Mus musculus: one gene and its partner. The protein of the gene in region 2 interacts with the protein of the main gene of each other region in a pairwise test. Links are inferred from orthologs where the notes say so. Each region holds a gene or a part of one and is shown on either strand. Other genes may lie near its edges.

Region 1 (3,175 bases), on a different chromosome or scaffold from region 2:
TAAACCTGGAGATAACTGATTGGCTAGCTTGGCTGGCCAGTGCACGAGGCAATAGGATTATTGGCATTTGTGGCCATACCTGGTTTTGTGTGTGGTGTTAGGGATCTGACTTATGTCCTCATACTTGCAGAACAAACACTTTACACACTCAGCCACTTACCTAAGCCCTGGAGACATGGGGCAGTCGAGAAGGCTTATGAAAGCCAAGTCATACTTGAAAAAAAATGAGCAATAAAGCTAAAAAGAACATCTATCTTTTGAGTAGATGTAAACAATCTTTGTAGTAACCTGGACTGGCGGATCCTCTTCACTTTTCAGAGTGCAGTCTCAGAATGCCAAAATGGGATATTTAGGGGGAAGTTAGAAGATTATTTTTTTTCAAACACTGTCACAAGACTGCACTTCATATTTTAAACAGAAACTGATAGAACTTAAGTACTAAAATTTATAAGCAGCTAGAGGTGCATGCCTTGGTTAGAGTACTTGACTGATGGCGTGCACTGCCAGGCCTGCACCGTGGTTTGACCCCTAGTACCACAAAAAACAAAACAAAGTTTAGAAGTTTTCAGAATCATTTCTTTAACACAGAAATCTGTTTATTAAACCAAACAAAACAGAGAAAAATTATACCAGCCCTCAAAATTTTAAATTTTCCTTAAATAAGCAAACTCTAAATTCACACCTTTAAAAGATGTTTGTGCATCTATGTATTTCCAAAATACTCATATTTCAATAAGATTTTCACATTATAGTCACCAACAGTATCACAAATTTTTTTTGTTTTTGTTTGTTTGTTTGTTTGTTTTTGTTTTTTTTTATTTACGTAACTGTAAGGAACAATAGTTCTAGAAACACTAGAAGAAAAAAGCATAGCAATGTCCACAGTTACAAGAAAAAGTGCACATTACCTGGTCACAATCACAGTCAGTACTTGAAAAACTAGATGTAAGGAGTAAGGAATGCCACTAATGCCTTCAACTCATTGTCAAAACCCGAATGACAGAGATTTTACATAAAATAAGGCAAAGTCAAGAATGCACAAAGAATTTGTAATTCAACCGAAGCTAAACAACAGAAAGGGAACTAGTACAAGCATGAGCTAAGGTACTTCTCCTTAAATATTTTAAAAATAGGCTGCTTCAGTGCACAGAAAATACCACTCAGAGTGTGTCTAACACTAGAAATAGAGAAAATGGCAGAGCCTGGGAGACAGGAGGGGAGAGTTCGTTGTTAAGATCCAGCTCGATCGGCTGAGAGCTCTCAATTTAAAACAAGAACAGAAGCTTAAATGATACAAATCATAGCAGGAGACATAACAGCCTTTCCTGGAAACTATTTCCAAAAGAAATGAGAAATACATACAAGAGTGCAAAGTTTAAGATTGTCACTTGCAACCTCAGTAACATTCAGTCATCTACACCCAGTCGCTGCTCTGGAGGGTTGCTTGGTAGCACAACCAGGGGCGAGCAGCTCTGAGGAAAGCACGCGCAAGGGGCTGGGTTTTGTTTTGTTTTCAACATGGTCTTTTTTATAACTTTTAGAAAATTCTGGGATGAAAACTTCTGTGGTAAGCTGCCGTGTGGCGTGGGTGTTTTGAGACTGGAAATGGAGGCATCTCTTGGAAGTAGTTCCTGATGAGTTGACTTACAGAAAGTAGGCAAAGGGTTTTCCAGCATTGAGGGTTGTTATTTTTCTTTTGTAGAAAGAATTTGGAAAGAGGAGAAGGCAAAAGGGATGCAGGAAGGGTACTTAACAATAGTTTCTCAAAAAACAGTTTTCTTTTAGGACCTATGAAAAAGTTACCAAAGTAAAAATGACCATTCTGAATGAAAAACAAGTTTTCTTTTTATAAAAATTACATTTTTTCTTTTAAAATACAAGATCCTTTTCATTGTTGTCATATCCTGTAGCAACAAGAAATTTGGCTTTTTATTTCCCCAGATACTTCATCTTTCAGTCCAATGAGTCAGTAGAAAATTCCACTAATATTTCAGTTGGATCTTGAGCTTTATATATATATGTATATATACCACAAGCTTCTTCATTTTTATCCTTGAATTAAGAATATCCAGGCTTTTAAAAATCTGCTTATGATATTTATGCTGACACACTAAAACATAAAGCAACAGGCTGGGCACATTTGAGCATCTCAAGTACTTCAAGGTCAGAGTTCCTGTGAAGTTCCTTAACACACCAGGGTATGGAGCAAGGACAGCCTGGCATGATGGAAATGCTTCCCTCAAAAGGTTGTGCAGCAAGCCTAGGAGTATCTCTGCTGGAAAATCAAGTGTCATTAGTGGAAACTGCAAATTTAGAACCCAGTGAGTACAGACATCGTTTGCCTCAGTTCTGTTGTAAAATGAGATTTTCCAGTTCATCTGCGGAACGCAATAAAAATGCAGCCGATTCTCGATAACCGGCGACAAGCTGTCTCACGGCATTGATTTCCGTCGGACTGAGCTGAGGTCTGGAGGTTGAGCTGCTGGACGATCCCGAGCCAGTTGCCAGCTGCCTCTTCATGCTCAGATCTGTGGGTCCTAGACAAAAAGAATCACAAAATAAGACAGGAATAGTATTTGTTCTAAGATCTCACAGGTGAGTGCCCATCAAATTAAGATTGCATTTATTCAAGAATGCTTTCATGAGAAACTCGTGGCCTCTATAATCGAATATGCATCTGTGCTCTGAAAGACTAATGACTAGTGTGATATGACTTGAGGATTTTTTTTTCAGGTATCTTGGACAGTTTCCAGCCATCCTTCCGTGTTATAGGGAAGACTCGAATCCTTTGAACACCTGAACACCGTCTGTTAGAAGAGTTCAATTTGAGTCTGTCTCCCACATGGTGCAGAAGCTGCAGTGTACCAGTATTAAGATGATGAATTGCAAATATTTCTATTTGCTGCATTCATTAACAAAGTCTCCCTCCCAACTTTATTTCTCTTTTTAAAGGCCCACTGATTGCTATTAGTGCTGCGGACATGGGCATGGGCATTAAACTATCTATGGGAGCTTGGACCTATGGAGATGCAGTGGTATCAGGAGTTTCTCAGCCATGGGTAGGGCTGTGTGAGTACTTCTCTCCATGTTAACATTTGACTGGCTTGCTGTTATGCAGGGCTTGTGTAGATACTTTGTCCACTTGTCACAATCAAGAAATATCTAGGAAGGAAGT
Region 2 (4,415 bases):
TTTGGGCTCTGAGAAAGATAGTACATGTTTGTGAGCATGGCCCTCAGCCCCAGAGGGACAAGGACGCTGCAGCTGCTGCAGGACTGCTGAAAGACACGGTAGGCTGAACCCGTCTACCCCACAGAACCCAGAGTCACTGCTAACAGTGAGTGTGACGATGCAGAATGCAGGCACTGGTGCTGACAGACTTTCAGGTGCCATGGGTTAACTACAAAACCAAGTCCACATAAGCCGCTGCCTCTCTTGTGAAGAAGTTTACATCCCGGGGCTTGAAGGCAGGCCCCCTGCCCAGCACCAAGCAAGCCAAATCCTTTCCTGACACTAGAAGAATGAAAGCTAGTGTAAAGGTGCTGCCATGCAGTACAGACCTCAGGACATGTCTGCTTTCCATACCATGCCGGGAGGCCACACAGCTAGTAGGTCTCATGGACAGGGGGTCCTCAGCAGTACCCAGATCTAAGGATCAATGTCCACACAAGTTTCTTGCCAGGTTACCCTGTGGGCACTCACCAATGAAGTACAAAAGGCAGGTAGGAAATAGTGAGCTGCTGGAAGGACAGGAGTCTGTCCCACCTAGAACCCTGAAGGGGACACTAGACCTCTCTGAGCATGAGACTCATCTGGAAAAGGGCGAAACACAAGCTGAAACCTGCTACAGGTCCACAGGTGACAGAAGATAGAATAGCCAGAGAAGGACAGTGTATCACTGAGGTCCCACCAGGATTCCACAGGCCCCAGCCCACACTATGTACAACTAACATGGCACAGTGCCCTCAGACATCTGTGGAAGCCAGGCTGACACATACAGCAGGGCCATGCAGAGAAAGAGCAGCCTCAAACCACAGCTGCCACCCTAAATAGTAACAAGACAAGCAAACTCATAGAGTTCCGGAGAACAGTATGACCCCACACTACACCACAACGCTGTCCCTGAACTTGGCACATCCCACAGCTGTCACCCCATGTTGCAGATGAAACAGAGAGAACACACATATGAGCCCAGCCCATATTCACATCCTGCTATCATTCTTCCAGAGATCATGCTCCCCCGGGGTCTCAAAGATGTTAGTCCAACTCTATAATGGAGCCCCGATGTCCTGCATGCCAATCACACTGGGGTAAGCATCCTGTGTATCCCTGTTTATATTGGACACGTGCTCTGAATCTGGAAGTGACAAAGCAAAACACAGTAAGGGAACATACTACCCGGGGAATAAAACTGCTAGGTATCATCTTGCTGACACCCTGGCTCACTGGGTTCACTTTCCTAAATACTGGACAGCTAAACTCCTTCCCTTTTCCTTCCTACAAGGCAAATTTGTCCTAATCAATCAAAAGCTCAACACGACAAGGGACATAACCCTGGGCCAGGAAAGGTTTGACAGGCAAGGCTGTCCTGCTGATTTCTGGAAGGCAATGGGCTGGGCCTGCCCTCCCTACCCCATGGGAAATTTGGACTATAACCCTGCTGGTTTGGGTGCAGAGCCTCTTCCTACAAAAGTGTGTGTGTGTGTGTGTGTGTGTGTGTGTGTATACACATGAGCCTCCAGGGAGTTCAGCTCTGAAGAGGTGCAGTGTAGGGGAGGAGTACCCACCACCAGTCCAGGATGAAGGCAGGCCTGGAGGGCCTTACCCCGCCACACCCTGAAACAAACTGACAGGATCTGCAAAATGGCCTTGTGTGATAAGAGGTATAGTGGGCCATCACAGGGCGCCTCCCTTTTTCCCTCCTGCCTACAGTTCCTTATTTCCTGCTGGCAGCACACGCTGCGAGGATTCATCCCCTGCCAGCTTTCAGGCTATAAGGAAGAAGGCAGTGCCCTTGTGAGAACAGAGCTGGGGGTCAAGCCGTGTGGTCATTAAAGTGGAAGCGCCAAAGAGAGGGACACTGTAGGGCACTTGGACGGTGGGCAAAAGGCTCCTCCCTAATCCGAAACCTCTCGGCTGCCCCGCCCGAAGGTGGGGTCGTCTTCGCTGCGCGTGCGCCAGGCTACGCGGCCAGGGAACGCAGCCAAGGAAGGACTGCCCTCCACAGGCAGGACCCCTGTGGCTTAAGGACTTTCATAAATGAATAAAAAAAAACGTAAGTGGTCCAAATCCAGGTGCCAAGCTGAGCATCACTAAGTCGACCAGAGGGGTGATAGGCATGTAGGCCACCCATGTTCCCTCAGCGCCACCTCTAGAGACTACCCGCTCCCGGATCTGCCGACCCGAGGCCCATGCGGAATCCGCAGGCTCGTCACTCCGGGAACACCTAGGTCCCGGCTGGGTGTCCACGAGAAGGATCCTCGCGGGACCCCGGGCCAGGAAGACAGGCCCGGCTCGGTCACAGTCTGGGTCGCACCACCACAGGCCCCTTTGTCACCTGCGCGGGTCGCGAGCGGGCATCGGAAAATAGGGACGCGCACGCGCGTGCAGCAGTTCGCGCATGCGCATCACCCGTTGGCCTCCTGGGTTTCTCCCCCCCAACCAGGCGCGCGCGCAGCGAGCGCGCACGCGCACTCGCACACAAAGCCAGCGCCGCGCGCGCCCGGCCGCCCCGCCCCCGCCCCTCCACCCCCCGCCCGCAGCCGGAAATGCGCGCGCGCGGCCTTACCCAGCGGCAGGCCCTTGTTGAGCAAGTGGGAGCTGCCCATTGAAAGGTGCGGGTGGCCGCGGGCCCCGATGAGTCCGGCGCTCTCCGCCGCCGCGAGCCCTGCGCCTGGGGCGGCTTCGGCGCAGTCTGCTACTCCGCCCGGCCGCCTGCGCCCGGCCACCGCCGTGCCGAGCCGCCACCGCGCCGCCAGCCGCGCTCCGACCGACGAGCGGGCGGGGACACGCGGCGCGCGCGCGCGGGCGTGGCCTCGGTTGGTCTGCTGTTTGCAGGCAAGGCGGCGCGCTGGACGTACGCGGGCGGCTCAGGGGCCCAGCTGCCCGCCGGCCCGACGCTCGGCCCCCACCCCCAGCGCCCCTCCCAGGCTGGATTCCCTTCCTGGACACGCCCCCAGCTGTACCCGCCCCCGGCCTCCCCTCCCCTGCGCGTACCCCGGACTGCGCCCCTGCCACTCCTTGGCGCGGTGACCTGGGCCGGAGCCTGAGTGGTGAAGCAGCCCATCCGCGTGGGGCGCTACCAGTCTAGTCGCCGGGGCCTCAAGAGGACAGCGAGAGCGGTTCACTCGGCCCCTTGTGCGCTAGAGCTGGGGCCGCGGACCCAGGACCCAGGAGCTGGACAGCGCCCCAGCCAGGGAAAGTGATCTGTGCGCAGGGACAGATGCCCGCTGGCCACCCCAGAGTAAGCGACTGACTGTTGGTGGGACTGTCAGACAGGCGTAGCGAGGGATACCGCTTAGCTGTTAAAAAAAATAAAAATAAAAAAAAATAAAATAAAATAAAATAATAATAATAATTAATAATAATAATAATAATAACATCACGGGAACAGTCCAAACTGAAGGATGCTGAAGGCCATATGGTTACGAGTTTTGAAAATCAAATCTTTGAGAAAGGTGGGCAGTATCAATGAGGGATGACAAGGGCCTGGGCATCTGTTTACAGAAAAAATGCTTTGAAAATACCTTCCAATTCCATCTATTGGCAGACATGGATGGAGAAAAAGATCTAACAGGTGGAGTCTCAAACCTGCTACAGTATTTCCTAAATAGACTGAGGGCTAGGGGGGAAAGCCAGCAGATGTACACTTTCCCTTAATCCCCACCCCTATCCTGGACTGTCTCTCCTGGTCTGTTCCAGTTTTCTCGAGCTGCAGGTGACTCCCTACAGATCCATCCAAAGGGCTCCTCCCAGTTGTTCCATCCTAACATAGCAACTCCATGGCAGAGTGACACCTCCTATTCCTTCTCAGGCTGCCCAAATTCCCACTTTTTCTTGCACATTGTGACTAGGACCACCACATCACTCCATCCTTGTGAGGGATTATATCAGGGCTTGTATAAAAACCCTTAGGGCTCAAAAGATGGCCTAATAGGCCATCACTTGAAAGAGGCACATTGGACTTGCAAACTTTATATGCCCCAGTACAGGGGAACGCCAGGGCCAAAAAGGGGGAGTGGGTGGGTAGGAGAGTGGGGGGGGTGTGGGTATTGGGGACTTTTGGTATAGCATTGGAAATGTAAATGTGCTAAATACCTAATAAAAAAATGGAAAAAAAAAAAAGAAAAAAAAAACCCTTAGGGCCTCCCAGGAAACCTCGGAAACCTCCCAGGAAGCCTCGGAAACCCAGGCTTCTTGTCACCATCACACTGGCTTGGACTCCTACTCCAGGGATGGTCCCTGCAGGCAGGAGTCTGCTCCTGCGGATGTGAGGTAGAAAGCCACTAGGTAGAGATGTGGAGATGCACAGGTGGTTCTGAACATGCCCATCCTAAGAGACCCTATGACCTTAGGATTGCCCAAAGGCACCTGTAAGCACTTGCTCC

Evidence for each region. The genes of interacting proteins can lie anywhere in the genome.
Region 1: the proteins of Ctbp1 (region 2) and Nol4 interact in binary tests that used the Homo sapiens proteins (3 or more experiments, as listed by UniProt). The link is inferred for Mus musculus from reciprocal best matches to the Homo sapiens genes CTBP1 and NOL4.

Annotation. Positions count from the first base shown.
Region 1 is NC_000084.6:22,692,598-22,695,772, forward strand, and holds the end of Nol4 (nucleolar protein 4), read right to left. Parts: intron 2,538-3,175; coding exon 2,344-2,537; 3' UTR 558-2,343; downstream 1-557.
Region 2 is NC_000071.6:33,272,183-33,276,597, forward strand, and holds the start of Ctbp1 (C-terminal-binding protein 1), read right to left. Parts: upstream 2,823-4,415; 5' UTR 2,637-2,822; coding exon of another isoform or gene 2,597-2,636; intron 1-2,596. UniProt on the Homo sapiens protein: Corepressor targeting diverse transcription regulators such as GLIS2 or BCL6. Has dehydrogenase activity. Involved in controlling the equilibrium between tubular and stacked structures in the Golgi complex.